3 linked regions of the Neurospora crassa OR74A genome follow. Each later gene encodes a partner of the first gene's protein in a complex. Links are inferred from orthologs where the notes say so. Each region holds a gene or a part of one and is shown on either strand. Other genes may lie near its edges.

Evidence for each region. Proteins that work in one complex are often made in the same cells at the same time.
Region 2: the proteins of NCU04344 (region 1) and NCU08277 are in contact, whole or in part, in a cryo-EM structure (PDB 6I3M), measured with the Saccharomyces cerevisiae proteins. The link is inferred for Neurospora crassa OR74A from reciprocal best matches to the Saccharomyces cerevisiae genes GCN3 and SUI2. Residues at the interface, in NP_012951.1 of Saccharomyces cerevisiae: Pro39, Glu40, Thr41, Ala42, Ala43, Glu44, Ile46, Asn47, Lys50, Met74, Leu78, Leu81, His82, Tyr84, Asp86, Trp87, Arg238, Asp305; in NP_012540.3 of Saccharomyces cerevisiae: Glu29, Met30, Tyr33, Met45, Leu47, Leu48, Ser49, Glu50, Arg53, Arg55, Ile56, Arg57, Ser58, Lys61, Arg75, Asp77, Tyr82, Ile83, Asp84, Arg88.
Region 3: the proteins of NCU04344 (region 1) and NCU08952 are in contact, whole or in part, in a cryo-EM structure (PDB 6QG2), measured with the Saccharomyces cerevisiae proteins. The link is inferred for Neurospora crassa OR74A from reciprocal best matches to the Saccharomyces cerevisiae genes GCN3 and GCD7. Residues at the interface, in NP_012951.1 of Saccharomyces cerevisiae: Phe76, Arg79, His82, Leu83, Tyr84, His93, Asn97, Leu100, Ile115, Asp118, Phe119, Ile120, Ala121, His221, Arg224, Glu278, Thr281, Ala282, Gly288, Val289, Leu290, Thr291, Pro292, Ser293, Ala294, Ser296, Glu297, Glu298, Lys301, Met302; in NP_013394.1 of Saccharomyces cerevisiae: Val113, Pro116, Ser119, Ser120, Met121, Phe122, Leu125, Gln126, Lys127, Val267, Asn268, Glu283, Arg286, Arg289, Tyr305, Phe307, Asp308, Lys311, Pro343, Glu344, Asn345, Pro358, Ser359, Phe360, Tyr362, Arg363, Trp366, His375.

The regions. Positions count from the first base shown.
Region 1 is NC_026504.1:3,701,065-3,710,946, forward strand, and holds NCU04344 (translation initiation factor eIF-2B alpha subunit), read left to right. Parts: upstream 1-4,459; 5' UTR 4,460-4,777; coding exon 4,778-4,857; intron 4,858-4,954; coding exon 4,955-5,909; 3' UTR 5,910-6,289; downstream 6,290-9,882. Other genes in the region: NCU04346 (hypothetical protein), read left to right, coding at 435-2,291; NCU04345 (adaptin ear-binding coat-associated protein 2), read right to left, coding at 2,878-3,702; egt-1 (DUF323 domain-containing protein), read right to left, coding at 6,376-6,820, 6,889-7,265, 7,313-7,388, 7,441-8,134, 8,432-8,718, 8,793-8,814, 8,876-8,889, 8,948-9,062 and 3 more. UniProt on the Saccharomyces cerevisiae protein: Acts as a component of the translation initiation factor 2B (eIF2B) complex, which catalyzes the exchange of GDP for GTP on the eukaryotic initiation factor 2 (eIF2) complex gamma subunit.
Region 2 is NC_026504.1:2,565,381-2,575,670, reverse strand, and holds NCU08277 (eukaryotic translation initiation factor 2 alpha subunit), read left to right. Parts: upstream 1-3,603; 5' UTR 3,604-4,040; coding exon 4,041-4,118; intron 4,119-4,187; coding exon 4,188-4,558; intron 4,559-4,637; coding exon 4,638-4,874; intron 4,875-4,940; coding exon 4,941-5,187; 3' UTR 5,188-5,578; downstream 5,579-10,290. Other genes in the region: NCU08276 (hypothetical protein), read right to left, coding at 1-2,397, 2,470-2,792; NCU16791 (mitochondrial inner membrane protease subunit 2), read left to right, coding at 5,737-5,993, 6,079-6,376; NCU08278 (mitochondrial carrier protein), read left to right, coding at 7,332-7,590, 7,657-8,420; NCU08279 (hypothetical protein), read left to right, coding at 9,249-10,290. UniProt on the Saccharomyces cerevisiae protein: eIF-2 functions in the early steps of protein synthesis by forming a ternary complex with GTP and initiator tRNA. This complex binds to a 40S ribosomal subunit, followed by mRNA binding to form a 43S pre-initiation complex.
Region 3 is NC_026505.1:5,797,920-5,808,140, reverse strand, and holds NCU08952 (translation regulator GCD7), read right to left. Parts: upstream 7,167-10,221; 5' UTR 6,832-7,166; coding exon 6,734-6,831; intron 6,677-6,733; coding exon 5,624-6,676; intron 5,565-5,623; coding exon 5,477-5,564; 3' UTR 4,817-5,476; downstream 1-4,816. Other genes in the region: NCU08955 (UBX domain-containing protein, variant), read left to right, coding at 1-88, 145-651; NCU08954 (hypothetical protein), read left to right, coding at 1,418-1,740, 1,824-1,879, 2,097-2,251, 2,395-2,466; NCU08953 (hypothetical protein), read right to left, coding at 2,928-4,385; NCU08951 (ribosome biogenesis protein Nhp2), read left to right, coding at 7,700-7,985, 8,093-8,535; NCU08949 (hypothetical protein), read right to left, coding at 9,595-9,652, 9,731-10,169. UniProt on the Saccharomyces cerevisiae protein: Acts as a component of the translation initiation factor 2B (eIF2B) complex, which catalyzes the exchange of GDP for GTP on the eukaryotic initiation factor 2 (eIF2) complex gamma subunit.

The sequences.
Region 1 (9,882 bases):
CAAGCAACCAGCGGGTCTGGAAGCCACGAGGTCGAAAAGCCGGGCTAGACCTTGGCGGCTTCCGGGCCCGAAGTGATGAGTGGGTGGGATGGCCATAATGAAATCATTATCGGGAAGATTCCAGTCGAAGACGAGGAGGAAAAGTGTGAATGAGCGATGAGCGCCTATAGCAAGCCATGCGTTCTTGGCTTAGATATATGCCCACCTCAAGGAAGCCTGTCTCATGACCACCGAGGGGTATCTAGCTGGCTGTGGGGGCTTTGCGTTGCTGGAGTTGATATCCATAAACTTGGATCAACTCCTGGAACAAGTCGCACAAGATCTTCTCTCCCGTCACTCCCTCACTCACTCCACCCGTCCCCCTTCTCCAAGTCTGTTGTGAGAGTCTCTGTCGGTCTTTCCTCCATAACCCCATTCCTTGTCGCATATACAACATGTCGTCTTCAGTCAGCAGCAGCCATGGAGGGCAAGCTACCCTCATAGACGGAAGGCCACCAAGCCCAGCCATGTCGACGACCACCACTCTCTCACCACCCAGCCCAGTCATTGGAGGGGGAGGGGGAGGAAAACATGATCACCACCCAAGCATCATCTCACATGATGCAATGGCAGACGTCAAGTCCAAGATTGAGAAGCTCGCCAAAGAGCTAAAGCAGCAGCAGCAGCAGCAGCAGCAATGCCGTCAGCAGTCAAGCAACAACAACACTCGTCCAATACTCCCCCATTTGAACACCGATAGCATCATCACCGCCACCACAGCCAAGAAAATAAACTTGACTAGACCTGTACTATCCCCTTTCTCTCGAGCCAAAAGCCACCAGCTCCAGCAACACGGCCATCAACCATCCACTCCCGGCCCCGTCATCCCAGGCCTCGAACCCGCCTCCCGCTCTCTCTCCGATCTTCACAACGAACGCTCCTACCTCTTGCATAACTTGCAAACCCAAGGCGAGCGAGCCACGCGTTTGTATCAGCGGTATGCCCATCTCGAGGCTAAAAAGGAGGCTTTGGCCTCTGCCACCTCTCCCTCAGACGGAAACAACGCCACTGCTTCTTCAGTTGGCAGCAAGAAGAAGAAGATCAAAAAGGACCTCTCCCTCCTCCGCAGCCGGATCGCCGAGTCCACGCAGCAGGAACAGCTGATCATGTTAAGGCTGGGCGAGATCCATGTGGAGTTGGTGAATAGGGGAAGGTGGGTTATGACGCACCAGCATCAGTATCAGCACCAGCATCAGATGGTGTATTCGCCAATGTCCGCTGTGATGGAAGGTCAGCAGGGGTATTTCGGTCATCATCAGTGGCATCAGCAGCAGAACCATGGTGGTGGTGGTGGTATCCCGGCGACACCATCCTCCGCCGACACCTATTCCGTCTCGCCTGTGGGAGGGGATGAGTACCTTTACACCCCCTCGGTCTTGAGTCCGCTTTCTCCTTCCTTTGTGCCTGGTGGAGGTGTTAGTTTCTTTGAAGATATCTGGACTCGACCATCCCAAAACTCACAAGACCACTTTACCTGTCCGGAAGAAACCCTGGCCCCTGCCCCAGGCCCCGAGCAAGAACATGAACACCATCACCCAACCGAGGGACAAGAAGAAGAGGAAGAAGAAGAAGAAGAAGAAGAAGAAGACGACCAAACACCCAAACCCAAAACTTCTTTCCAAGACCTCCCTCTAGACTCCCCAGCAGTTCCTCTCTCGGCAGTCACTCCCAAGTTCAGCACCACCACCAGCACCATCAGTACCGTCAGTACACTACCCTCCGAACACCTCGCCACCCCCATCACCCCTAGCAGAATCCCATGGGACGAATACCCGTCCGACTCTGAAGATGACGGGTCATTTGAGAGTTTTGATGCGAGCAGTTTTACGCCTATCGGCGTGACGACTATGAATCCACTGACTTGTGACGATTCTTTGGACAATGGCTCTGGCTCGGGCTTGGGCTCGGGCTCGGGCTCAGGGTCTGGGGTGATGATTTCTGAACCGGAGGAAAACCATGATGAGGAACATGAAAAAGAAGGTGAAGCAGAAGAAGACGAAGAAGATGGGGAAAGTGACGAATCCGCTTCCGAACCAGGGGATTTGCTTTCTGAGCAACAAAGAAGGACTGCTTCGTTCTCACGGGGTGGTGATGGCTGGACTAAGGGGAAGAACAACAACAACAAGCACAGGAGGCTGAGCATGCCTAGCTTGAAGAACCTGTGGCCTGCTGCGCTCGCGGCTGTTGGTGTTCAAATGGGGTTGGAGGAAGAGGAGGATGTGCCGGAGTTGAAGCTTGATACTGTTATCTAGCCTGTTCCTGGTTTTTTTTTTTTGGTTCTCGAGGTTTTCAAGTGGGCTCTTTCTTGCACTCTATGGTGGAAAGTTGGCAGCGGAGTTTGTGGCACTGGCGGACACTTTGTTAAGATGTGAAAGAGGACAAATCAAGTTCCCTATGTAGGCGTTATCTGGGAGGGTCAAGGATATATGCTTGAGTGTTGTATCTTGGAACTTACTTACTGGCTGTATTGGGCATTGCGCCAAGGAGCTTTGGGATACAGTCAACATTTTCTGTCCGAACAAAAACATCAAAATGGCGGGAAACAGGGAACGAAACGAGCCGGAAGGTTGTTTATGATTAGGTATATTAGCTCTGTATAGTTGTGTAAGCTTGTAGACAAGTCCTTTTGCCACTTTGATATCGTATGGCCGTTTCTTGTCCGTCTTATCTGCCAATGTCGCTTTCCGCGTCCCTGATCCGTAAATATCCTGTATGATGTTGATGATGATGATGATGGTATATGCGCCGTACATCTTGCTTGCTTGCTGACTTCTCTAAGCCAACCCCAGCCAGAATTGCCGTTCCGGTTTCCTTCATTTTCCTTCCTGACTTTATTCCCTATTCAAACATGCCGTTCGGTCCATCATCGAACCCTAACTCCTGCGCAGATGGTTGTCTCCTGTGCGCAGCACGTCCACTGCTAGGCGGAGGCGGCAAGAAAGGCATTCCTAACCCGCCGCCACCTCCAGTCGACGATGGAGGAGGAGGGAGCGAAAAGGCCGACAAAGGAGGCTGTGAATTGCTGTCCAGGTCCGTCGACAAGGGGCGATCCTGCCTTGCTCTCCTCCCAAACTTGGTCCCGCTCAAGTTCACCGTGATCGTTTCGCCCTCCTTCAAGCTATAATCCTTCTTCTCCTCGGCCTCCTGTTTCTTGCTTGACTTGATCAGGGGCGCCACGCCCTCGATGAGGCCCAGCGACTTTTGCGCCTCCTGCAGGGCCACGCCAAAGTCGAAAGACTCGCTGCGCTCCTCGAAGCCGACGCCGAGCATGGCCTTCTTGCCGGTGGTGGGATCCTGCACGCGCAGGGCAAAGAAGCGGCTGCTGTCGATGGTGGCCTCGACGACGGCCTGGGTGGTGTAGGGGGCGGCGGCGATCAGGTCGTTTGTGGCAGGGTCCTCGAGCACAATGTCGACCTTGACCGTGTCCTTCTCTCCAATCTGCTCGGGCGTCTGCGGCGGGATCGAGGTCTCGATGATGCGCACGCGGCCGGTGAAGATGTGCGCCTTGGGGTCGGCGGTCCAGTCGGCGGCCATGTGGCCCTTGGTCGAGCGCATAGGGGGGATCTGGTAGATGTGGACCGAGGAGGAGGTGATGTGGAGGATGCGCTGGATGGCATCGGCCGGGAGGGGGGCCTGCGTGGCCGGGTCTATGAGGGTCGTCATGATGTGTGTTGTGTTATGGTGGTGGTGGTGGTGGTCACGGTCGTAATGGTGTTTCTGTCCTTGTGATTTGCTTGCTAGCGTACCTAGTCCCTATGTCGGCAACTTATAGTCGACGCTCAACAGGAAGCCAGGGGGGGAAGAAGAAGAAGAAGAAGAAGAGACTGAAGCCAACATCGCCAACCAACGGGTCCATACACCTAGGTAGTTTCAAATGCCCGATGAAGAAAGAGACAATGACGGTAAAGGGTCCTCCGCTACTGTAGAAACCCCTAAGTTAGCTTCACATTCCCCTTGCTGCCCCTGTTCCATGGAAGCGGACGGCGGGGCGGAAGCCACAGGAAGTACCTAACAGTGGTAGCAGCGCAGATGCCAGGGGCAGCCTGGAGTAGAAAGGATCCACGCAGCCCCAGGGGGGACCCTCAGTGTTTCGACCCTGTAAAGAGCCCCCGAAAGGTCCGTGAGGTGACTGGTGGGCGGCGGTGACAAGCCGCAACACCTGGCATGGAAATCACCCAGGGCAGCAACAACCCCGCTAGGTAGTAGTGTACACTAGCAGCTGCCGATAGCGGGGCACATACCTAGCGGGCATGAAATGGAAACAAAGAATGGCCGGAGAGCTTCGTTGACGTGCAGTAGGTACACTCAGTAGTAGGTACGCATTGAGGACGGTGAGTGGCGGCAGAATACTTCAAAGGGCCGCCCGCACTTGGGAATTTGGGATGAAGAAGGTTACATGTACAGCTAGTAGAGGTAGGTACGCATCTTGAGTCACACTTTCAGATCAGACCAGACGCACGCTTCTTCAGAAAACGCTGCATTTTATCGACTCTGCATACCACAAACCAGATCATTGTCGCAATACATAAACCTGTACGATTTGACAAAGCCAAAACCTGCCTGCCTGCTCCAAGTCTCCCAAGTGACTAAAACACCCCGAACCCTCCCCACTTGGATCGACCGCCGCAACAGTGCTTCCTCCCGGGAGGACTTGTATGTTTTGGCAACGAAAACCACTTCCCACACCTTCACAATATCAACACACTTTGTCGTCTTCTCCAACAACCCCCATAGAAACATGGCCACCGACGACCTATCCAACAAGCCGCTCGCGGTACGGACGACATCGTCCACCTCCACTGATGGCGCCTCGTTCGAGTGAGTTTGCTTTGGCGTAATTACCACACGCGTCATAACCAAACCGCGCTGAACCCTTTCGTCGCATTGCTTGCCTCTGACCAAGACAAACAAACAGCATCGTCAAAACCTACCGCGACCTCCTCACCTCCGACCCCGACATGACTATGCCCGTAGCAGCCATCGAATCGCTCATCGAGCTCTTGCGCGTCACCCCTTCCTCAACAGCCATGGAAACCGTCGAGGTCGTCAAGACCCAAAAGGCCCTCCTCCTCGACTCGGCCCCGAACCCTCTCCCTCTGCTAGCCGGCGCCGACCTCTTCGAGCAGTACCTTCTCCGGTCGCTTAGAGGGCAGACCGCCGAGTCCTTCGACGAGACGAAGCGCCACCTGCTCAACAACCGCCAGCTCTTTGCCGCCCGCGCCAAGGCCGCCCGCGACAACATTGCCGTCATCGGTTCCCGCTACATGTCGCACCGCAAGATCGTCCTGGCCGCCGGCGGTTCGCGGGTGGTGACCAAGATCCTGGTGCACGCCGCCACGACCCGGACCAACACGCACTTCAAGGTCATTTACGTCATGGACGGCAGTCCGCACTGCGACGCCAGCGTCTCGGCCCTGCGCGACGCCGGCCTGGAGGTGGAGACCATCTCGACCTCCAAGGTGGCCTACGTCCTCAAGGACCAAAAGGACATCAACATCGTCCTCGTCGGCAGCGAGGTCGTCATGCAAAACGGCGGCATCATCTCGCGCATGGGCACTTCGCAGCTTGCTCTGCTCACGCGCTTCGCGGGCGGCTCGCAGAAGCGCTTCTTGGTTGCTGCGGAAAGTCACAAGATTGTGCGCAAGACGCCCCTCTGGCACCCACAGGTGTTGAGGGTCGGCGTCAAGCAGAAGGATATCAGCAAGTTTGACAACGTGGGCGTTGACCCTGTAGGCCAAGAGGCGAGGGATTGGGTGGCGGATCGCGATGAGGTGGATTATACCGATCCGGAGCTGATTGATGGCATTGTGACGGAGCAGGGAGTGAAGCAGCCGAGTCAGATTTGGGAGTTGGTTGATTATGAGAAGTGAGGGGGGTCTTGCTGCCCGATACTGAAGGTGAAAGGTGTTGAAAAGCGTGGGTAACAAAAGGGCGGTTTTATGAATGGATGGATGGATGGATGGAACTGCTTGATCATTTTCAAGTTATCGGTGTGGTTACTGTGGTAAATATCCTTGCAGCATTATTAGGCGTTTTTAACGGGAAATGGGATAGGTACCTGATATCCTTTGGAGGTTTGGTTGATGAAAGAGTCTCTTTTCTCACTTGCTTGGCCTGTGAAGGAAAACAAAGTACGTGCTAAAGTTAAACCAGGGATGCCTGATCGAGTGGAGTGACATATGAAACCACCCCATTCATATACATGTAGTTGACCGAAATTTCATAACCAAGAAAAAGATACCCATCTGAGTACTAACCAAGACTGCGCTATTCACGTCGTCTTCACTTTCCAACCAGCCATAGTCCACCACCCATTACACATACAAACACAACGACTCACAAATCCCTAACAACTCTCGCCCCCACCCAAGCATAAGGATAATTCCTCTGGTACCAATTCACAAAGCTCTTCCTCCCCGCAATCCTCGGATGCGTAGCCCAGCTCCCTCCCAGCACAATGTTGTGCTTCTCATCGAAAAAATCCGCCGTATAGCCGGGGTACAGCTCCATCGGCTCGAACCCCTCCCACTTGCGGAGGACCGATGAAGTCCATTCCCACACGCCGCCGAGCTCGCCTTGCCCGACAAGGGTGTTGCCTTTGGAGGTGATGGGCATAGGGTGCCAGTTGTGAAAACCGACATTGGCACCGTCTAGGTCAGAGAAGAGGTCTTCGGTGGTGATGAGGGTGGTGTTGCTGTCGGAGGGGGAGGAAGACTCGGCGGGGGTCTCGGAAGAGGGAGAGGATGGGGGAGTGATTTCCACGCCGTTGTTGGTTAGGTGGCTGTTTATCAATGGGAAAGATATTGTTAGTGCGAGCTGGACACGGGAGAGTAAGTCGAAGGGACATACGCATTAACAGCCGGAACCGTCCTTCCCAATTGTCTCTCAGCTTCCTTCTTCTTCTTGAGAGCATCGGCGTAAGCGTAAATGCTCCGGGTCTCTTCGAAGGTGGGAATACGGCCGCCCATGTAAGCTGCGCAACCGGCAAGTTCGTCGTAAGAGGCAAACACGGGCCAGTCGAGAGCGTGCTTGAGAGGCACGAGACCGTAGACTGTGCGGACTGCTGTCTTCTCGAGGAAAGATGAAGGGAGCTGCTGCTTGGAGGTTCTGTTGCTGTGGTGACCGCTCACGCTGTTTGTTGTTCCATTGCTAATGTTCTCGTTGTCCAGGCGGGCCCAAGAGGCAGGGAGCTTGTCGATGTTCTTTTCAAGCAGATATTGCGCGTACTGGTTGTTGTTAGTATCGTGCAATAATAGTTGCTAGGCAAACGTACCTCTTCGTTGGTGATCGGCCTCCCTTGAGCCTGAAAGGCAGCAACTTGAACGCGCCTTGGAGGCTTCTCGTTGTCCCTATTTGCAAGTTAATCCACCGTCGACTTTGACGGAAAAAAGGTCCACTTACCAGCCATAATGCTTGTTGATATCAGATCCATCCTCAGGATCATCCAAACCGATGGTGATCTCCTGTGCCGGAATCTTAAACCACTGATTGGGAACCCTCTCGGACTCTGCCTTCCTCGCGAGCTTGTCAAAGTCGGGCCGTGGAATATGGGTTGGGATCAGCGTCTTGTCGCTCTGTAGCATCATGTACAACAGCGTCTCGATATGCATAAGCTCGTGCTCAAACCCAACCCAAATGGCCCGACCCACATTCCGCGGAATATTCGCGATGCCATGCGCATAGAGGCCGCGTAACCGGGACCGTACCGTCTCCTGGTAGGTCAGGATTTCTTCCACCGGCGGCCATTCATCAGGAATCTCCGAGTGCGCATGACACAGCTCCGGGTTGTCGACATCAGGATCAATGCCTCGCTCGAAGATCTTGCAAAAGTGAGCGGGCTCTGACGGAGCCTGCTTGGTGGTCTTTGTGAGCTGGATGTCGAGGAAGGTCGGGATGTGACCGAGGTAAAAGATGCAGGCGTTTCGGAGCTTGATGGGCTTCTCCAGAAGCTCTTCCTGGGGAAGCATCTGACGTGTGACGACATCCCATGTCGCCCAAAGGGCCTCCCAGTCGTCCAGAGTTGGGAGTGCGCTGCGAGCGTACACCGAAGGGATGAGACTGAAAGACATCCTTGACTTGGCAAGCAGATGGAGTCCTGCAGTACGACGGAGGGATGTCAGCATGTGTCAATGGTTTTGACGGCGCAAATATTCGAGCCTCCCCAGCCCGTGCGCGCTACCCGAACACTGCAGCCCAACACCAGCCTACACATTGGTAAACTTGTGCCAGTGTAGGAGCTGTGCCCATCAGGAGACACCGCAACATCATATCATCATACGACTGGTCCGTAGGGTGTGGGGAAGGTGTGGTAACACCAGCCGGACGGCTCAAACGGGTAGTCTCAGAAAAAGCTGGAAACCTCAAGCAAGGAAAAGCTGTGAAAGCAACTTACCATATTCGTTGCCGTACGTCCATTCCGAGACTTGTTCCAATCCCGCCGTGCTCCAGAGCCTCTCTGACTCCTCTTTCGAGTACTTTAGGCTCTGTTCGATCTGGATCCTGTCGTGTGACCTAATCAACTCCCCCATAACCATGGTGTCGCGAGTGGGGGCGTAAAAGGCCTGGTGTCTGCCGCCCTCTTCGTCATACACATATTCGCCAATGACTCTCCAATCGCCCTCGATGAAGGCCGTCTCTCCGATAATTTCATTGGCGTTGCGAAGACCATTCAAGATGAACCTGAATCATCAGTATCAGTAATGGGCTGGAAAGCGGGAGCCGCCATGAGCGACAGAAAAAGGGGTATGACATACTCGTGAGTAATACCAACCTTGTCTGTTTGGTTATTGTCAGCTTGAAGGTGGTCTTATACCATGTCACATGAGTAAGCACAAACCGTTGTAAGCGTGGCTAGTATATGGTTAGCAATGTTCCTGATGACGTCCCAAGATGTTTGTCGAACACGTACTATACCCTCGCCGGGTCATTGCAAGCGTCAACCCCAATGAGCATCTTGTCATTGGGTCCAAGGACGTCCGTAAAGCCCTTGAGAAAGGTAGCGGCGTCACTGCGGTTAAAGTTGCCTAGAGACACGATCATGTCAGGATTTTCTTTGACCAATTCAATACGTATTCAAGCTTACCAATGCTTGACCCGAGGTGCAAGATGCATTTCTGTTTATTGATGTTCTCTGGGGCCTTGAGCCAGTCACGTCCATCGTCATATGTACCCAGAAGACCGTGGCACTTGACGTGCTTGTAGGATGGTACCTGAGCGAGAGTGCGCTCCAGCTCCTCCCGAGACAGGTCAAGGGCATAATAGTCAATTGCCTTGCCGGCGTTGTCTAGGGCTTCCAATAGAAGGTTTACTTTGCGCAGATTTCTGGGGATATGGTCAGCTCTTCGAAATCCAGGACCCCATTGTCGAATTGTCAGATGTTTACCCGCTTCCGAGCTCAATGATCATGGCACCTGACGGGATGAAGCTAGCCATTTCGGTCGCATGTTTGGTGAGGATTTTGATCTCGTCATTGGTAAGATAGTACTCTTCAAGGTATGTGATCTGATAAGGGTCAGTATGAACCAGCATGTCAGTCCCACAACTTGGATAAACTTACACGCTCGAACAGCTGCAGGCCTCTCTCGTTGTAGAGAAGCAAGGTGGGTAGCTGTCTAGGGCCATCTTTAGGTCGGAACATGGAGGTTATCTCGGTCTTGAGGTTGATCTCTACAGCAACGCGGCGGATGTCGATGATATCGGCGTTTGATGTCTGCTGCTGAAGCTTGGATAGCACATGTTGTCCAGTTGCTTTGAGCTGTCCGAGGGCACTGCTTGGGGTCATGGATTCGGCACTCGGCATGTTGAATTGTTTATCACCGATGCAAGCTTGGGGATTGAAAATGG
Region 2 (10,290 bases), about 1.1 Mb from region 1:
TCCAGCTCTCCGATACTCTCTCCCTGGCCGAATTCAGCTTTGACGTTCATCCCCCCATCTTTTTGATCTTCAACCAGTCTTAACCGGCCATTGAGGACAAGGTAAATTGCTTCGCTCTCATCACCTTCGCGGAACAAAACCTGGCCAGAGTTGACCTGCACCCACTCGAGGGCAAAGTCGATGTGCAGAAGCAGACGCGGCAGTAACTCCGTAAGCCGCTTGGCCATAGTAAGCATAACGATGGGATAACGGTCAACGATCCTGTCAATAGAGGCAAGTGGAAGAAAGCCGACACAGACATCCGTTCTCGCAACAACATCGATAAACGATCTGTAGGAGGAAATGGTACCAACATAACCAGCAAGTCCACCCGGTTTGATCAGAGCCACGCTCCTTCGACCTTGTTTGCCTTTCTTCTGCTCAGCACCAAAGTTGTTGTTCATGTTCGGTTCAGGAAAGCGTGACGAATTGGCCCCAAAGGCGTCGGCACCAGTTGCTGAGTCATGGCCATGGTCTACCTTGGCTGAGGACTGGAGGAGGTCGTGTGATGAATCGTCGCCCGGAACACAAATGTCGAGGAAACCATCAATAACATAATAGAGACCAGGATTTCTCTCACCTTGCTCCACCAAGACAGAGCCCTTAGGAAAGAAGACGATCTCAACCTCGTCCTTCATATCGTGTGCGAGTAGTTGAGGATTGGGAACTGGTGACGATGAGCTAAATCCACAAGAGGTAACTGACTCCGTGTCGTTGTCGAACGGGTCGAAGGCATCCATGAAGCCAAAAGCAGTGTGGCCGGGACCACCCCTCGAACGTCGCTGGTCCGTAGGAACAAATCTTGGGGAAGCTTGCGTCGAATCCGGATTGACACTTCCGTTACCGGTCAGGCCAATGGCCCTGAACATGCATTCGAGCACCGACTCTCGGAACATGTCGTCTTCATCAAGGGCTTCCCTCGTGTCAAGAGAGACATGTGCGTTTCGAGGAGTAGAGAAGGGACTGAGATTTCGCTGTGGTCGAGGAGATGTAGCGTCTCGCGCTAGATCAAGCTGCGATGCCGGCCCAGACTTCAACTGTTGCGTATTCGTGAGCAAGTCGCCGGGGCTAGGCATGTCGGGCGATGGGCGTTCTCGACGTGTTCCGAATGCAGGGGTCGCCGTGACGATGCTCTGCCGCCTTTTCGAATATGCCTGCAATGCCACTTCTTTCCGAAGGGAGGCAGCCGAACGACGTCGGCGGGCGGCATGCGCATTGTGAAGAGCAATGCCCTTTTCGACCTCCTTCTCTCCAATTCTTTCCCTTTCCCGCTTGAACTTTTCCTTGAGTCTATCCAAAGCGTCTCCTCTGAGATGATTAGGGAGTTGCCGAACTGTATGCTTCAAGATGTTGCGCTCCATCTGCAATACTTCGCCGCTCAAGCCAAGGTAGTTGTAAGCAGTGGCAAGTGTCACTCTTTGAAACCTCGAAAGGATGACATGAACGATGTGCGCAGTGGCCTTGGGATATATCTTGATCAGACGCCTGAAGGCGCTGGCGGGGATAATGGCTATGGTAGTGTCCACTGTCGCTCTCGCAATAATATCTGGATGGGCTGAAGTGGTATTGAGCCTCTTCGGTACCGGCCGGCGGGGTACAGCAGGACGAGTGTTCACGAGAGAAAGTGATGGTATCCTCGAAGAATCATGAGCTAGGGGAGACATTGTTAGAGACTCAGCCGAAGCCATCCCACGTTGCATAACGTGGTTGTCGGACAATGGGGTACCTGGGATGGACGGGAGGGTATCGTTCGACTGCTGGAAGTTGGCGTTCATAGGATAACCAGGCATAGCGGTGCCAGGAGCGGAAGGCGTTGGGTCGGGGCTGTCGTCGTCGTCGGTGTCATGCATTTGGATATCTTCAGTGAAGAGTGACATGATAGAGAACAGTGATGACATGGGGGCACCGTTCCGCACTTCGGTCAGAAGCTGGTAGCGCTGGCGACCCGGAGCAAAGCCTTCCTCATCGTCGCTCTCGAACGAAGGGCCACTGCTTGAGCGTCGACCATCTCTGGCGGATTTAACAAAGATCTCCACCATACCGTCGACCACAAGACAGAATCCTTGCTCTTCTTCGAGGTTGAGGGTTTCGCCAGCGATCAGCTTCCTCGTTTGCATGCTGCGGGTCAGTTCATGGAAAACCGGCCTTTCCAGATAACCAAAGATTTTGATGGCGCTGAGAAACTCGTCAAAGTAGCTAGCTAGCCCAGACTTTACTCCTTCCTCCTGTGTTTCGGGGAACAGATCAACAGCTGGCTCTTTGCGCTGGGGCTCAGGAGGAAGCCGTGAGTACATGTTTAAGTAGCGATATCTGACTACCCAGGTCACTCCTGCCATCATGAACAACATAATAAGCACACTAAGCATACCGACGGTTAGATCCACCAGCCTTGAGTCCATGTATACAAAATGCGGCTGGCGGATGACTTACAGCGTAGTGGCGTTCATGGTCACCGTCAGACTAGTCGAAAAGATGTTGAACAGAAAGGTGGGTGTAGTGATGGTGGTCAGCTTGATGACAAAGTATAGCACACTCGAGATGCGGTGCAACAGCCAGAGGATGATGGTGAACCATGAAGTCGGGGTGTGTTCGGGAACCACATCGCTAGTAGCTTTCGAGACCGCATCGCTGGCGAGAGCGACGACAGACGAGAGGGCTTCTGTAGGATCGGCGAGGATTGCCGTCGCAGTCGTGGACGTTGTCTCGGAAAGCACCGAGCTCATGGCGTTGCCGAGGTTGCTAAGAGACTCCATTTTCAGAAGCCTGAAGCACCAAGCAAGCAAGCCAAGAGTTACCGGGCGAGCCCGTCGTGTAGATCGGTTCTGACAGAAAGAAGAGAGTGTGTATGTATGTTTTTGTTTTTGTGTTTCCTTTTTTTTATAGGGTTGTAGGTATCGCGGTAGTGTCGCGCCGTCGTCGTGGGGATGGTCGTGAAGAATAGTTGGTGTTCGATCGATCAGCGTGTCTGAACCCCAAAAGTACCGTCGCAACCTGATCAAGACCTATGAGCTGTCCCCTCCCCGATGTGCCTGTGGTTGAAACCCAACTCTTACTACCTGGTCTGCGGTGTCGTCGCTCTGTTCTTTTTCATATCGGTCCAAGTGTTGTCACCCAAGACGGAGACCGTCGAGAAAAGCGAAACGGGTGAGCTCCTCCAAAAGTAACGACATGTGCGGAGGGTTTAGATGAGCCCAGTGTCGTCGGGTGTTGGTCGGCCCTCGGGATTCGTTTGGGTGCCGTGCAAAAGTCGAATCTCCAAGTCGCCGTTGGTGGACAAGCAAGGTTCAGTGATTGAAGCTCCCTAGCTCGACGATGTCCAAGGAAGATTCCAGGCTTATCAGTGACTAACCCCACTGTCGGTTCACGATTGACGTCGTTGTTCCTGCCCACTGAGCTGGCGCTTGGCACAGTGGAGTTCGGGGCAGGTGGAGTAAGTAGAGGTACCTAACCGAGAGCAGGTACCTGCCTTTGCGTACCGTTGTTCCCACCTGGGCTGCTGTGCGCTTCCTTACCTAGGTACCCGACTTACCCCACCTCAAAAAAAAAAGATGGAGCCGCGTCTCACTTGCCGTCACGGTCAGAACGTGAAATTCACCCCTCAATCCGGCGCACCAGCCACAGCCTACTTCGTTCCCTCCCAAAGTGCCCACGCCACTTTTGCAGCCTGTCTGCACGTAATTTTTGGTTGGTACCCGAAAAATACTGCGACGCATCTGGCTAACTTTGAGTGAGTCCTTTGAGCCTCGCTGGACCCTCCGAGAACCCGCTGCCGCAACCAGAACTCGAACTTCCAGAGGACCTTTCCCAGCTGTGGCCACTTGCAGCGAAACTCGGTCAATTTTCTTTCTCGGCCATCAACCCCTCCAGACCATCCACTCGAATTCCATCTCGCCCATTGTCGCGAAGCTCGTCGCCGACATTACCCTCCCCCTTTCAACACCACTAACACCACCACTTATTTCACCGTTTGCCCCGCCCGGGAAAAGGCACCAGTCGCCAACATGTCGCTCTCAAACTGCCGTTTCTATGAGGAGAAGTATCCTGAAATCGACTCGTTCGTTATGGTCAATGTTAAGCAAGTACGATACACTGGGGTCCCGGTGGTGCGCATGCGCATGTGGATGCGTCAGAGCTGACCCCCAGATTAGATTGCCGATATGGGCGCCTACGTCAAGCTTCTCGAGTACGACAACATCGACGGCATGATCCTGCTCTCTGAGCTTTCCAGAAGACGTATTCGTTCCATCCAGAAGTTGATCCGTGTCGGTCGCAACGAGGTCGTCGTCGTTCTCCGTGTCGACAAGGAGAAGGGTTATATCGATTTGTCCAAGCGTCGTGTGTCCCCCGAGGATATCGTTCGTTGCGAGGAGCGTTACAACAAGAGCAAGATCGTCCACTCGATTATGCGCCACGTTGCCGAGAAGACTCTTGTTCCCATCGAGCAGCTTTACGAGACAATAGGATGGCCCCTCAACAAGAAATACGGCCACTCGCTTGATGCCTTCAAGCTTTCGATCACGTACGTCATTCCGGGAAATAGGCGTACAGCTGTGGGACAAAATGGCGGTATTGGACAAGATGCTGACATGGATGTGAAGCAACCCCGACGTCTGGAATGACATCCAGTTCCCCACCGAGGCCGTTGCCGAGGAGCTCAAGACCTACATCAGCAAGCGTTTGACTCCCCAGCCTACCAAGGTCCGTGCCGATGTTGAGGTCACTTGCTTCGGCTACGAGGGTATCGATGCTATCAAGACCGCTCTCCGCACTGCGGAGGCTCGCAACACTGAGGAAACCCAGGTCAAGTGCAGACTTGTGTCCCCTCCCCTTTATGTGTAAGTCTTTGCCAGAAATAGTCTTGCAATGTTGAAGACAGAGTGGAAGCTAATAACTATACACAGCCTTACCAACACCTGCTTGGACAAGAATGCCGGTATTGCCCGCCTTCAGGAGGCCATTCAAGACATGCGGACCAGCATCGAGGCTGCTGGTGGCCACCTTGTGGTGAAGATGGAGCCCAAGGCTGTCACTGAGTCCGATGATGCTGAGCTCCAAGCTCTTATGGAGAAGCGTGAGCGTGAGAACGCTGAGGTCAGCGGCGACGAGAGTGTCAGCGAGTCCGACGACAATATCCCCGAGACCGTCTAAAGCGCCTCTTCATTTTGCAGCCATTCTTAAACGGAGCTATCTTTGCAGGCTCATTGGGATACTCGACACTATTTTGAGGAAAGGTTTAGGGATGCATGTATACAGTTTTTGCGACACAGGGCTGGCGTCTAGGGGATACAAAAGTCCTTCAGGCGGTAGAGGAATCAACCAAAAGATTGCATCAAGCGTATGCCTAATGAATGTGAGCGAGGGACGAGGATTGATGAACACAAGACTTGATATGGATACATAGTCATTTTATGGATGCACTTGCTGTAACTAGGTAGATCTAGGCGTTCAAGGATATGCAGCTACCGGGGCTGATAAGCGATCTCATCGTTTTCTTATCGCCGCCTGCCCGGGCATGTGGCTGCAATTATTGTCTTCTCCATGTTAACACACAAGCTCCGTACTGCTCACTGCCCTGCTCACTGAGCACGTTGAGGCGAACATACGCCCTCTATTTCACAGCAGCATTGCGATTCACAGCAAAGAGTTGCATCGCATTGACATCTTCGGTAGCTCGATAACTCGCTTGGTCGGATAGCGATGGCGGCGCGATGGGGAGCAGGAATTCGGAACGGATTCCTCGGTCAGTTCTCACACTACCTCATTCGCTACGCAACATGGATCCCTCCATTGGTGGTCTTCAACGGCTGGGTTGCCGAGATCACACAAATCAAGGGGCCGTCCATGTATCCTTTCTTCAACCCGCACTACAATGAGTCAACACGTCGGGACATCGTACTGGTCTCTAAGTGGTACCCGGACCGGAACCTCAAGCGCGGCATGATTGTGACCTTTAGGTGAGATCCAAAATCTCATCCTACAGCATCTGGCGTGCCGCATTCGGGGCATTGGTTGGGAACCTGACGACTAACTGTAACCCAGAAACCCACTGAACCCAAAGGGAAAGGTCGTAAAAAGAGTGGTCGGAATAGCAGGCGACGTGATCCGTACCAAGGCGCCTTACCCGCATGAATACGTCCAGGTACCAGAAGGGCACATCTGGGTAGAGGGAGACGGCGACAAGACCAAGGACAGCAACTACTACGGCCCGATATCAGCGTGCTTGGTCACCGGCCGTGTCACGCATATTCTGTCGCCGTGGGATCGATTTGGGCGGGTAAAGTGGTGGGAGCATAACTTGCGACCGGGGATCAAGAAGGCACGCCATCTGCTGGAGTGAGCCATTGCGAATCGATACACACCTTGTTTGCGTGAATGGTTCATATTCACACATGCTGCTTTCTTGGGTGCACACACAGTCCTTGTGGGTTTGTAGACGAGATAAGATGCTCATCGTCAACAAACACCACGGGTGGGAAACGACAAGGGTGGCGGCAGTCAAACAAAGAGGAGGAAACATCAGCAGTTTCAGTGCTGGACCACAGGCCTCTGTTTGTTTACTATTGTCTCAGGGGGGTGCCGAGAGGTCGACTGATGTACAGAATATTCGAGGGGTCCGATGGTTACGTGCGGGTTAACAACACGCACGAGCCACATCGATTGCTGCATGAACCCTGCAACCCGACGGTGCGCCCGAAAAAAGGTGCGGCGCTTTGGCCGGATAAGCCAGTCTTGGCATTCCCAAGGGCGCAAAGGCGGCCGCGAAATTTATCAAAACTTGGATCTTCTCGCATCCATATCTCAGTTAGCCCATGAAGCTTGCGCGCCCTTGCCCGCCGCGGTTCTACAAAAGACTTGGGGGTTCGCCATTGACCATCGCTGCCCGCACCTAAGGCGGCGGAACTCCCTCGCCCTCCCTTCTCCTCCCAAAAGGGCGATGGTGCTTGGCTTCGAGGCAGCCAGTACGCACCCTCTGCACCCTACCGCTTCCACTTCCACTTCCACTTCCACTATTGCGCCGTCGTCGTCACCGTCTTCGCTGTCGCCCACGGCCGTCGCCGACCATGGACTTACACATCAACAGGGCTTTGGGACTATCACCGAAAAGGACTCACCGCGTAATATGACTCCTGACGATGGGGATTTCGAAAGGCGCCCGCCTTTGCTGCAAGTATGTCATGTCTTGTCCTGGGTGGTGAAACTCTGTGCGCCAACTATCGCCAAACCTTAGACTGTCGCTGACCACCATACGGTAGTGCATGCTTGCAGGCGGCTTAGGAGGGACAAGTGGCGACATGCTCATGCACTCGCTCGACACGGTAAAAACTCGACAACAAGGCGACCCGCACATTCCGCCGAGATACACCTCGCTGGGCTCATCATACTACACAATCTTCCGACAAGAAGGCATTCGACGGGGCCTCTACGGCGGCTGGCTCCCCGCCCTTTTGGGGTCATTTCCTGGAACTGTCTTGTTCTTTGGCACCTACGAATATAGCAAGCGGCACATGCTGGACTATGGTGTTCAGCCCCATGTCGCCTACCTGCTCAGCGGTAAGTTGAAGGGGGAAATCTGACAGGCAGAGGCTACCTACGCCTACTGACATGAGCTGCGGTTAGGGTTCCTCGGCGACTTTGCCGCGTCTGTTGTCTACGTACCCTCGGAAGTTCTCAAGACCCGGCTTCAACTTCAAGGCCGCTACAACAATCCTTACTTCGCATCCGGATACAACTACAAGGGCATGACCGATGCCGCCAGGACTATTGTTCGTAGAGAAGGATTCTCGGCCCTCTTCCACGGGTACAAAGCGACTCTTTATCGGGACATGCCCTTTTCCGCCCTGCAGTTCATGTTCTACGAGCAGGCTCAAAGCTGGGCGCACAAGTGGATGGGAAGCCGCGACATTGGGTGGCAGCTGGAACTGTTGACGGGTGCTGCGGCGGGAGGTCTCGCTGGTTCTATTACGTGCCCACTCGATGTTGTCAAGACCAGACTTCAGACCCAGGTCGTTCCGGATCCCACAGCACCGGCGATCGGTACCAGCTCAGCGACAACGCAAGCGTCCACGAAGGACGGAACCATCAAGCCGACCGGCACCACGGAAAGCTCAACACAAAAGCTTCAGAAAAGACTAATATCAACATCGTCACCATCAACTCACACGCCACGACCGGGAGCCGTTACCCTGGACACGTCTTCGGTATTCACGGGGTTGAGGATAATATACCAGACAGAGGGCATTGCCGGATGGTTTAGAGGCGTCGGGCCCCGTGCAGTCTGGACCAGCATCCAAAGCGGCTGCATGCTGTTCCTGTACCAGGCGATTCTGCGTCAGTTAGAGACTCGTATGCCCGGGGAACAGGAACGTACAGAGGTGGCCTAATGCTGCATCTCTGTTTAGCGCAAGATGAGCGTTATTGTATACCACTTTCTAGACGTGTTGGTTGTATTGTATCTGCGATGGAGACGGCGGCAAGGGAACATTTCAAAGAGGCGTTCAGGGAATGGTCGGATTGATGGATAGAGAAGCACAGAGCATTTGTATGAGTATAAGCGACATAGACATAGACCCGAGCCTTTTTTTCACGTTGGGACGGAACATTGGAATACTCTGCTCAGGTCATTGGGGGTGTTTGCCCTGGGGTCCAGTTACGCTGTACATGTGAGAGATAGATCATGTCAAAATACCAACGGATTGCCCAAACTGGACGGCGGGCGGGAGGTTGCGCCTTCAGACGCCCGTCATTCTCTTGGGCCCCGGGACTCGGATGGAGGCTCTGCGGGCATCGTTGAAATTCAGATGCGATTCCTTCGCCAAGGAACCGAAGTCCAACAGAACACGGCATTGAGAGACGCTCGGGGCGTACCAAGATGTGGACCCACCCGGCTAGCGGGGTGCTGCAGTGCAACAGTGCCCACTCCTAGTGTAGCTAGCGGGCTCAGGCGTTCGGGTCGTGCTTCCACTTGATCCTTCCAGTGCTTGTTTCCCGCGGCGCGGCGCGGATCGATTTTTGGAAGTGAAACATTTTTGAGCTCATCCCGCACAAGTGGAAGCTCGAGTTCGGAGCTCACGACAAGCTTCGGCCTCCGACCACCTACCTCTCTACCTCCTCACCAGGGCCCTCCCCCGACGCCCACCGCCCACGCGACTCGAACAGGGCGTTTTTGACCATGATTTGATGAGCGAGATGGAACACGGAAACCCGCGGCCATGTCATCACCACTTCCTGTCCCCTCCAAAGCTGCCTTGACAGCCCTCCGAGGACTTGTCGTGGGAACCTCTTGCACCCTCGCGCTCATTGCCGAAGATCGCCGACGACGAATCAGAAACGCCTTGACCGCAATTGAAAATGGAGAGCGCATCAGACAAGCCAAGAACTACAACACGGGCGGCGCTGCTCTGGCTGTGGCCCTGGAAGAAGAGTCATTGCTGGATGCGGGCGTCTCGCCCTTAGCTCCTGGGCCATACGCTGCGCTACCCACAGAGATCATCCGACAATACGATAGTGCTAGGGCCGCGGAACTGGAACGATTGCAAAGGGGCGAGGATGCCAATGAGTCAATAACAACACAGAGAGAACATAATTCGGGGTCACACCCTTGTGGACATAGCCGAAGAGAAACACCAAGGTCGGTTACACCCAAGAAGCGGACCCTCACAGGGCAGCACCACTTTATTCCACCGGTAGAAGGAACGTCAATCACGCAAACTCGACATATCCATCACAGGTTTTCAAGGAAAGCAGACAACGAAGGGGGAGGACGAAGCTCGCTCGCATTCCCCAGCAATGATCAGATTGTCGCCATGGTTCAGGAAGCTTGCAGAACCAGAGAATTGGGACAAATGGAAAAGGCCGCATCATTAGTCTTTGAAGCGACCAATCAGAACCAAGCACCGGACAACCTGAATGAGGCTTGGATGGAGGCATCTGCTTTACTCTGCCGGACCTACTTGGACATGGAACGAGCTGAGGACGCCGCAAAGATTCTATCTACCGTGTTAGCCCGTGCACCACTTACAGAGGCGCGGTACTTCGACTTCCAACCTGTACGGCTCATAGATTCACTTCTCGCCAAAGCGACACAGGCAAAGACCGGGGAGAACATATGTCCAGCCAAACTCGAGACGGCCATAGGTTTGTTCTTGCCAAAGTTCACCGAAAAGCCGGTGGTCCAGAGTGCCGAATTGCTTGCGGTTGGCAGAGCCTTGCTTGACCATGCTTTTGCCGTGGGGAAATCAACCAGGGCCATTG
Region 3 (10,221 bases), on another chromosome or scaffold:
GCAAAGGCTGGAGGAGCTCCGCCAAAAGCTCGCGGAGAAGCGGGAGAGGCAGGCACTTGTTGACAAGGAGGAGCAGAAGCGCAATGAGGTACGATGTCAGAATGTCCCCAGCCGCATTCCAAGCATGCTAACAAATATGTATAGCAAATCAAGCGCAAGGCTACCAAGGAATCACAAGACATGAAGGAGGAGCTGGCGCGTAAAGAGCAAATGAAGGAGGCTGCCCGCAAGCGTCAAGAGAAGCTCGACGACATCGAGGCCAAGAAACGCATCAAGGCCAAGATCGAAGCCGACAAGGCCGAGAGGAGGCGCAAGGAGGAGGAAGCAAAGGCGCTTCGCGAGGGTAGAGCTCCGGCCGCTCCCTCAACCGCGCCTGCTGCCGCCGCCGCTGCGCCGGCTGCTTCGAAGCCGGCTGCCTCCCACAATGAGGCTCGTCTGAGGTTGCAAACTGCCAAGGGAAATGTTATGAAGACACTGGCTGCGGATGCCACGCTGTTTGAGCTTGCTCAGCAGTTGGAGTCGGAGAACGGAGTCCCGGTTGCGAGCTTCTCTACGACGTTCCCCCGGAAGACGTGGCAAGCCGGAGTGGACTTTGGCCAGACGCTGAAGGAGGCTGGGTTGGTTCCCAGTGCGGTGCTCATTGTCAATTAGGGTGGACGAGTACATACTTAGTGCTTGGAAGTAAACTGGGGTGGGGGGAACGGCCATGGTATGATCTCAAGCCGAGTTGAAACGCCAGAGCTGGAAAAAGAACGGATACGTCTAGAAGCTGCTTTACGAATGATGAAAAAGAAGTTAAAGTGCCAGTTAAACAATCTTCTGTGTAATTGTTGTCCGAACTGTGATGTCTGGACATGTCGTTCGTAGCGCAGATAGGTACCTCTACGGCCACATTAAACCCACGCTACGCTAGACCCACCATCTCCGGATTACCCCGGAGGATACAGTTCAATACTGGTTAGACTGTTAGCTCGAGACCTAGTATCAACTTCCTTAGACGTACTATATTTAGTTGATTTGTGGCATCATTCGACGAAAGTGGAATTTGGATACGAATATGCTTATTTTCAGATAGAATATAACACATTGAACCTTGTTGATTGGTGTGAGACAATTCAGATCGGATCTCATCCAATTTCGCAGAAATACCCCTGGGTACCGAGCTAACAAACAAACTAGCACCAGATTGTACTCCGTGGCAGTGCAACTAGCAGCCAAAAGTAAACAAAAGCCAACCTCTTCGGCTTCCTTCGTTGAGACACTGTAACATTTAGCTCGGGTATTATCCCGTATACCTACCTAGCTAGTACAGTAACCCCTCCTTTTTTTTTCTTTCGCAACGCACGCAACTTTTGTACCGAACGTATCCGTCCTTGATTCCAGTACACTCACTTATCTCTAAAGTCAGACCATAACTATGGCCTCCTCCTCCCGATCTCGCACCCTCCAACTCGGACAAGCTCTCCACAGCAACTTGAACAGCCGCTTTAGCCGCCGCCCATCATCATCTTTCTTTTTCTCCTCCACGTTATCATTCTTCAACTCTTCTTCAACTACCGTCACGAACCCCGAATCATCATCACCCCGCATCTCCAACAACTTCTTCTTTAGTCAGAGACATCATCATATCCGAACAATGGCTACCTCTACCTCTACTACCACCGCCGGAAAGAAGATTGAGTGGCTCGTTGTCGTGCCGGACTTTGAGGGCGTTGGCGAGAAGAGGTTGGAGGTTCGCCCGTGAGTTTGCACTCATCTGTTTGATTACAGTAGGTAGAGAATGAGTGCGAAGAGGTTACTGACTGAATGTGTTGGGGATATAGTGATCACTTTGCCGGTCTCGGCAAGAACGTCGATAATGGGTGTTTCCAGATGGGCGGTAGGTCTTTTTCTCAAGTTATACTTTACATCACTTCACTCCGTCTCGTTTGACTTTCACTTCACCTTAGAATACCTTCAACAGTGCACCACTCCCCAGCTCTGGGGGGGTTCTTGATAACTCTGCACCTGCTTGATCTCATACACATGCTCTCGTCTTACACACACATGAACCCTTCCCTTGTATCAATAGAGACGAGTGCTAACATACTCAAAAGGCGCCGTTCTCTCCGAGCCCCCTACCTCCGACGACCCCAAGACCTTCAAGTTCGCCGGCAGCACCATTGTCCTAGTCGCCGAGAGCCGCGAGGAGGTGATCAAGATCCTCAAGGACGATGTGTATGCCCAAAAGGGCGTTTGGGACGTTGACAACGTAAGCTTTCTTCCCCTGTCCTCAGTTCATTCTGCTGCCTTTTAGAAAGCTACGTAGTAGAAGTCTCGACAGTCTTGGAGGAACGTGATGCGTCAAAGGTTCAGGTGTGGATGCTAATGCGAATTATAAATGATATAATATAGGCTCAGATGTGGCCCTTCAAGTGCGCCTTCCGCTTCCCTGTTCCTGGTCAGCAATACGAGCAGAAGCAATAGGTGTGTAAAAGTCAATAGAGATTATTAGTACATAAGATACAGTTCAAATGATTTTCGGTAGCACTCTTTGTCTGCAAGTATTCAAGCTGAGTACTCGGAATACATCTTTGAGAATGTCCACAACACAAGACAGATCGATCCACACTACGAACTTTGCGACGAGGAGCAACATATCGGAGGTATCTATATAAACTCGAAATGCAAAGGTAACAGCTACAAGACGCACTAGACTCGTCAACATTTACCTATGCTCTCGTCGATCTCGGAAAGTCGGAATCATTACCACAGTTTTTTTTTCTTACAAGTAATTGCCGAAACACAAAGTAAGTCAAAAGCAACAATCACTCAATCTGCTCCATTTCGCTATCATAACTTCTCTTTTAAAGCAAGTATATACCCAACACCACAAAAAAAAAAAAAAAAAGCTCCCCACACTTCCCTACCTACTGCTGCTTCTATCACTACCAGCCGTTCAATGCTGCCAAGTCTGCTACTATTGCTGCCTCTGACATCCTTGCCAGACTTCGCCTGACCTCCCTAGCCCGACAAGCCTCTTGCAATTCAGCGCGGAGACGAGCACGGTAGTCCCGTAACAAGCGCATAGATTCCGCATTTGACGCCGTTGCTATTGCCGCCCGCCGTATGATCTCTGCTGCGCCTGGTTCGGCGTTTGACCTGTAAAGGCGGTCCCGTTGTTGTTGTTGTTGTTGTTGTTGTTGTTGTTGTTGTTGTTGTTGTTGTTGTTGTTGTTGTTGTTGTCTGGCATGATAGGCATCTCGTATGTCGCCAAGCAGGCTGGCGTGCAGCTCGGCCATGGAGCGGAGGGTACGCCAGGGTAATGGCTCGACGTGGCTTCTCAAGTGCAAGTATAGGATGATGTTGCGGATGTGAAGCTCGTAGTCGGAGAGCCCCTCAATAATATCGCTGTAGTAATCGTGTTCATCGGCATCGTGTTCTTCGTCATCGTGTTCTTCGTTATTGTGTTCTTCGTCATCGTGTTCTTCGTTATTGTATTCCTCGTCATCGTGTTCTTCGTCATCGTGTTCTTCGTCATCGTGTTCCTCGTCATCGTGTTCCTCGTCATCGTGTTCCTCGTCATTATAGAATGAGAAATCTTCCAGGTCTGAGATGGGGTCCCAGTCGTCTTCTGAGTCATCTTTTTCCTCGAGGTGTTCGTCTTCAAGGTCTTCGAGGTCCGAGAGGTCTTCTTCAAGGTCGTCTTCGAGGTCCGAGAGGTCTTCTTCAAGGTCGTCTTCGAGGTCCGAGAGGTCTTCTTCGAGGCCCGAGAGGTCTTCTTCGAGGCCCGAGAGGTCTTCTTCGAGGCCCGAGAGGTCTTCTTCGAGGTCCGAGAGGTCTTCTTCAAGGTCGTCTTCGAGGTCCGAGGGGTCTTCTTCAAGGTCGTCTTCGAGGTCTTCGTATTCTTCAAGGTCTTCGAGGTCCGAGAGGTCTTCTTCAAGGTCATCTTCGAGGTCTTCGTATTCTTCAAGGTCCTTTTCATCGTCCTCCTCTTCTTCTTCCTCGAGTCCTTCTTCTTCTTCTTCTTCCTCTCTCTCTTCAACAATCCCAAAGTAATCCATAACAAACTTCCTAAAATCGTCGAGATCTCTTCTCTTCTTCCATTTATTCAAAAGGCGCCGGTTCTTGATGTCCTCCTCCATACCCATATAAACATCATCAGGTACCCTCGCGGGGTCAAGGAGGGGTGAGTTGCCTTCTTCGCGCATCTTTTTGTAGTAGCAGATTATCTCCTCCGCTTCGTCGGGCCAGTCTGTGGGTGCACTTCTCGGAGAGCCGAGAGGAGGATATGCGGCGGCAGCGGTGGCAGGTTGTTCTTGCGGGGGGCTAGTGAAAGAAGTCGTGGGGGTGTCGGTGGAAAGGGAGAGGACTTGAAATAAAAACGAGGAGCGTGCGTGTGACATTTTGGTGGTAGTTGACTTTGACTGGTTGGATTATCGCGATCCGGCCGAGCGAGCGTATGATTTGAGGTTGGAGCGGATTCCCCGAGGAGGTAACGGGTTGAGCTATGTGGACGATGGTCGTGGGTTTTTGGACCGTCGGTGTACGGATCGTAGGTAGGTATGTAGGTCGTAGATGGATAGACTATGGGATCATGATCGGAGGTAATGACCCGTGGGGATTTGCACTGTAGGAGTCTTGAACAGTGGTTGTGTGTAGTGTAGGTATATAGACCGTACGTGTGTAGGCCGTTCGAGCGTAGACCGTGAGGATGTAGCCCCAAACAGTCACGTGGATGGTATGAAAAAGGAGCTGGAGAAGACGGAGAATGACTCCCGCTCGAAGAAAGGGACGCGATAGACAAGTATCGGTGTCTGAAGGATCGTGAAGTAAGGACAAGCCGTTGATGTATTGATTTACGTGGATAAATGACCTAAGGAGCGAGGAACCGAGTACGTAGACGGATGACGAGAAAAAGAGAGGGAATTAATTCGAGTGGAAAGAGAATGGATGGGCAAGTTTAAGTATCTGTCAGACTCCCTGTGCAGGGAGATGTATTTTCCAGGGAAATATATTTCGGCGCGCAGATGAAGTCCGACATAACAGCATCCGATGTCCGCAGCGGAGGCCCCGATTCCTGCTTATATACGATATCCTTACGTGATGCTGTACTGCACTCATCTAGATCCTTAAGTTCGATGGCGGCCCAGCAAGAAAAAGCGACACATCTTGTCCCTTCACCCCATCTAACCATGCCCGTCGAAGCCTCTGCCAGCGTCCAAAGCTACTGAGTCCGGTGAATCCGCAAAACCTCGCCATCGGGACTACCGAAATATGCACGATGATAAGGAACAAACAAGTTTATGGGTACAGATATGACTCTTCAGTTGACATATATGCAACGCACGATGTTGTATTTTCGGAACGCATATTGGTCGGCCAGGTTGAACCAGGAACAGTCGAGAGGTATTTGAACGAGTATTGCATTGGACCGGCAGCATGATACATTATTAACCGCGTCTTTTTATTTTCTTCATTTTTTTCTCTTCGGCTTCTAAGGCAGATGCAAAGACAAGCCCATATCTTCGAGCTTGTAATGGTCGGCCATGATGGTGGCAAGATGATCTCGTGTTTGGGGGCCACTGTAAAGTTGTTAGTGTTGGGGTTCTTCAGTCATCAAAATTATGGGTTCAGGGCTTACAGGTTTGTTAGGTATACATCGACGTATTGGGGTGGCAGGTACTCGCCCACGATGTTCTCTACCTCGAGGGCATCGACGGCCTCACCGTCGGCATAGTCGACATACGTCGAAGAATCTCCCTGCTCGAACTCGGTCCCATCGTCCGACGGATCTACGGGGCAGAACTTGTAAACACCGCTTAGAACGATAACGGGCTTGGAGTACTCCTGCGCTGCCCTAGCAGCAGTACTGCACCCACTCTCTGTGGAAATACCGCCGTTCGCATATACGGCCTTGGCGCTGATAACGACCTTGTTCACCCTAGGCATATAGGCCATCAAGCCGTTGCTAGCCAGGCTGATGGCGTTGACCCCGAGACCGTTGAGCTTCTTCCGTAGGGCAGCATGGGGCACCTCGCCGGGTTTTTGACGCTCAGCGCTGGCGATGAACACGGTAAACCTCCTCTTTGCTGCGGCTTTGAGGAGGAATCTCTCGACTGTTGGGGAGGGGAGGTAGGCGAGCACGTAATCGCCGGGGTGAATCTGGATGTCCGCGAAACCCGCAATCTGGTCGTCCGCCTGGCTGATCTCGTCCATAATCTCTTCGATGCCATCGATAACTTCGGACCGTAGGGCATGCATGTTGGCAGATGCGCCCTGGGACATGGGGGTAGATGCGCCGGTAACTGGTGACTGTGCGGTCTCTGAGACGCAGAGAAGGTTGAACATGGACTTGGACATGGGGAGAGTCGCGGCGCGGAGGGGCGTGGGGCCTGGCCTTGTGGAAATGGTGGGCGTTGTGGGCAGCTGGGAGAGGTCGGATACTGAGTCGCCCATCTCGTCGGCATTTCTGTCCTCGGAAGCCTCATCACGAATAAGACCCATTACTCGGCGGACAACGTTGCCGATGACTTGCTCAGTGGGAGCAGCTTGGGCAAGTCTGTGGCCGGTGTTGGAGACCTTTGCGAGCAGCTGATCGACGTTCTGCCACTTAGACTTGGCGACGACCTGGAGCAGCATATGGGCTGTGGCATTGGCGACATCATCGCCCTTGACTTGGCGACGTTTTAGGAGGCTGCCCAACCATGTTAGGATCTGATATAAGATAGATATGAAGCAGGCGTAGGCGTACTAAATAAGAGCCTCGATAGAAGCCTCCAAGGGCTGAGTGTTGAGAGACTTGAGGAGCTTGCCCAACGTGGGGGCATAGCTCATTTGCGACGACGCCATGGCGATGAGCTGTGTATAGTACTCTGTGTGCTACTGAGGTATTGTGGAGGTGATGTCGAAGTGAGAGTGCGACTGTTCCCTGCTCGAGGCTGTATGGTCTTTACGAATGGTACTGGACGGATATCTATGAAATCGATATAGGCGGGGGGGAATGACAAGGCTGCTGGTCGCAAAAAGGTTCTCCAACAATAGCTTCCAGAACTGGGCCAATGTCGCTTGGGATTGTGGACTTTTTGCCAGTGAATTGTCGAGGTGAGTCAATGGCTCACACTGAATGCGCTTGGAGGTAGGTATCACAAGCTCTAGAAATTTAGTGGGGCAGGCAAGCAACCGGCCTTCAAGGACAAAGCACTGCCGCTGTTTGCCAGTTTGCGGCAGGCTAGAAGCAGGCCTTGTTTAAGTTCAAGACTACTACTAATCCCTGTCGTACTGAATGGAAAGCCCCACCAAGCAAAAGGTGGAAGTTTAAGACATTTCCTCTTATCGCGTGCTTATCGGAAAATTGGTCCCTCTTATCGCACCCAATTCCAGGCGCTCACCTGCATTATCGGCCCCCGGGCGGAACGGCTTTACAATTGGCCTACAAATTTTTGGTCGCGTCGCTCTGCTTTGATTGACTGGGTCACTTGATGGACCCAGTAAAATCTGCGTTGAAGAATCCATTTCTGCGATCAACCGCCCCATCACGATACCAAATACCTTGACGCCCCAACCCAGTAACTTTTTTTTCTCTTTACTGCAGTGGTTGTCTGTATAACCATTCTTTAATTCCTGTTTGATACCCCATCCCCCTCCACCACCAACTTTATCTACACACACCCAACCACCACCACCAACAACAACACACACACACATTTAATCCGACAAGATGGGTGCCACCGACAAGATCAAGGAGAAGAAGGACAAGTCCGAGAAGAAGGACAAGAAGGAGAAGAAGATGAGCGAGGAGGCCGGTGTCAAGAAGGAGAAGAAGGACAAGAAGGAGAAGAAGGAGAAGACCGAGAAGCTCGCCAAGGCCGTCGAGGCTCACCTCGAGAAGGAGGGTTCCGTCGACCCTGAGGATGTCGTCAAGACCGCCGAGGACCTCGTCCCCTTTGCCCTTCCCCTCGCCGACGACAAGACCCACAAGAAGATTTACAAGTTGATCAAGAAGGGTACGTTTTGTGACTACTCTCCAATTGCATTGCCAGGCTCCTCAATCGCAGCCCACGCACGACTTGTACTGAACCCAAGCTAACTTTTGATTAAAAAAAACAAACAGGCGCCAAGCTCAAGTCCATCCACCGCGGCGTAAAAGAGTGCGAGAAGGCCATCAAGAAGTGCCCCCTCCGGACCGCCGCCTCCCCTCCCGCCGACGCTCCCGGCCTCGTCATCATCGCCGGCGACATCTCGCCCATGGACGTGATCATGCACTTCCCCATTCTGTGCGAGGAGCACGGCGTTCCCTACCTGTACATTCGCTCGCGCGCCGACCTCGGCGTTGCCGCCTGCACCAAGCGCGCCACCTCGGTGGTGATGCTCAAGCCCGAGGGCAAGAAGTCCTCTGGCAAGGAGGAGGGCGACAAGGTCGACCCTGCCGAGTACCTCGAGGCCTACAAGGAGCTGGTCAAGACGGCGCAAAAACAGTGGAACGTCCAGGTCGAGCCCTGGGTCAAGGGTACTCACCCGCTCCAGATCGAGGCCAAGGTCAAGGGCACTGCCTAAATTGGCGGGAGCAATGACTCGAGCGAAACAAAACACACAAAAGATGAAAGGCTGCAACGACATGATGGCGACAGCGGGAGCACATGAGACCATGACACTATTGCAGGTGCCGGTGTGATTGTGCGTCTGCTTGTTGCAAGAGTGTTCGTGTGCGTACGTGCTTTTTGCTCAGACAATCGGACCGTCTTACCGTTGAGAGAGAAGAAAACAGGCGACCGATCATCTTGGAGATTGGACGCTGGCGGGGAGCGCAAAGACTGTTATTCGATGGACTTTTGCCTGGGCTTGGGGAACAGATGAAGGAGGAACAAGTTTGTGACGCCTTAATCACAACCTCTATCACTCTTTTCTTCCCTCGATGTCGATTTCTGTCTCCGCTTCGGGCTCCTCCCACCTCTCGCTCTCATCACGAAAAGATTGTCGGATATCGGTCATCATCTCTTCCGCATTGACCACATCCGGTCGGCTCCCATGGGCTGGCTTGGTTGTTCTGGGCTTTTATCTAAGCTATAGATAGAGAGCATTGATGGGTTGACGGTTTTAGTCTATCCTGGTTTCGGTTATGGATTTATGGCGCTGGCTACTTGCTGTCATTAAAATATGGAAGGCGTTGCGGGGTAAACACTTGTATTTTGTACGGTATATATGAGAAAGGAATACCAAGTTCATCAGTTCTCATTTTCCAGTTCGTATATGTTCAAGCGTCTTTGGGTCGAATGCCGCGGGCTGTACTTCTGGCCTATGTCACGACACACAACACAACATCGACATGGCCAACTACCATCGCAACACTCAATCAGATGCAAGACAACTCCTGGTCACCAGCAGACAACAAGCACACGAGCCAAATAGTGAGTTATCGCCAGCGTCTTCCATTCATCTCAGGAATGCTGATACTATGCTAATAGCTTGATACAATACAGAGGGTACCAAGAAAAAAAACAGGAAATGCCCAGGAACACGCCCACACTCCAAATTGTAGGTGCGATACTCAAGTTCCCCATTATCATTAACTTCATTAAACCATACCAGAGTTCCTCTTACTCAAAAAAGGACCCTTTACTCGGCACGCCAGCTTGTCCGGCCGAGAGTAGGCGATCCGGAGGTAGCAGAGGCGCTGTTTCAACCATGTCAGCAGACTGTTCCCACAGGATATACCGTAGTAGATAGGTTCTTTTACAATAGGGTGACCCACTACTCAAAAGGGTTGGTGCGCGTTCCCCACCAGGTAAGGAAGACGGAAAGGCCGACAGTCTCAAACAGCTTAGCGAGGACGTTGATGCCGACAGTCTCAAAGGCGCGCTTCTCAACGAAGAACTCAGAGATGAAACCGGGAGCAGAGGTGGCAGCGAAGATGAGACCGCCGAGGTAGGCGGCGCCGCGGTAGCTGAGGGTGCCGGTGGCGTTGATGAGAGCGCCAATGCCGTACGACTGCAGGGCAGAGCCGACGAGGGAAGAGCCCCAGGCCATGACGGCCGAGGTGGCCTCGCGCGACTTGATGAACTCCTCCTTGCTGTTGGAGATCTTGGCGCGCTGGTAGGTCTGGCCGAAGAGGGGGGTCATGATGGCCAGCTCGGTGGCATGGTTGAAGATGGTGCCGAGGGCAATGGCCGAGGGCTTGACGGGGGGGAGATCTGGAGGGAGTGAGTTAGTGTCATTGTTTGGTTATGCTTGTGGAAATTCATG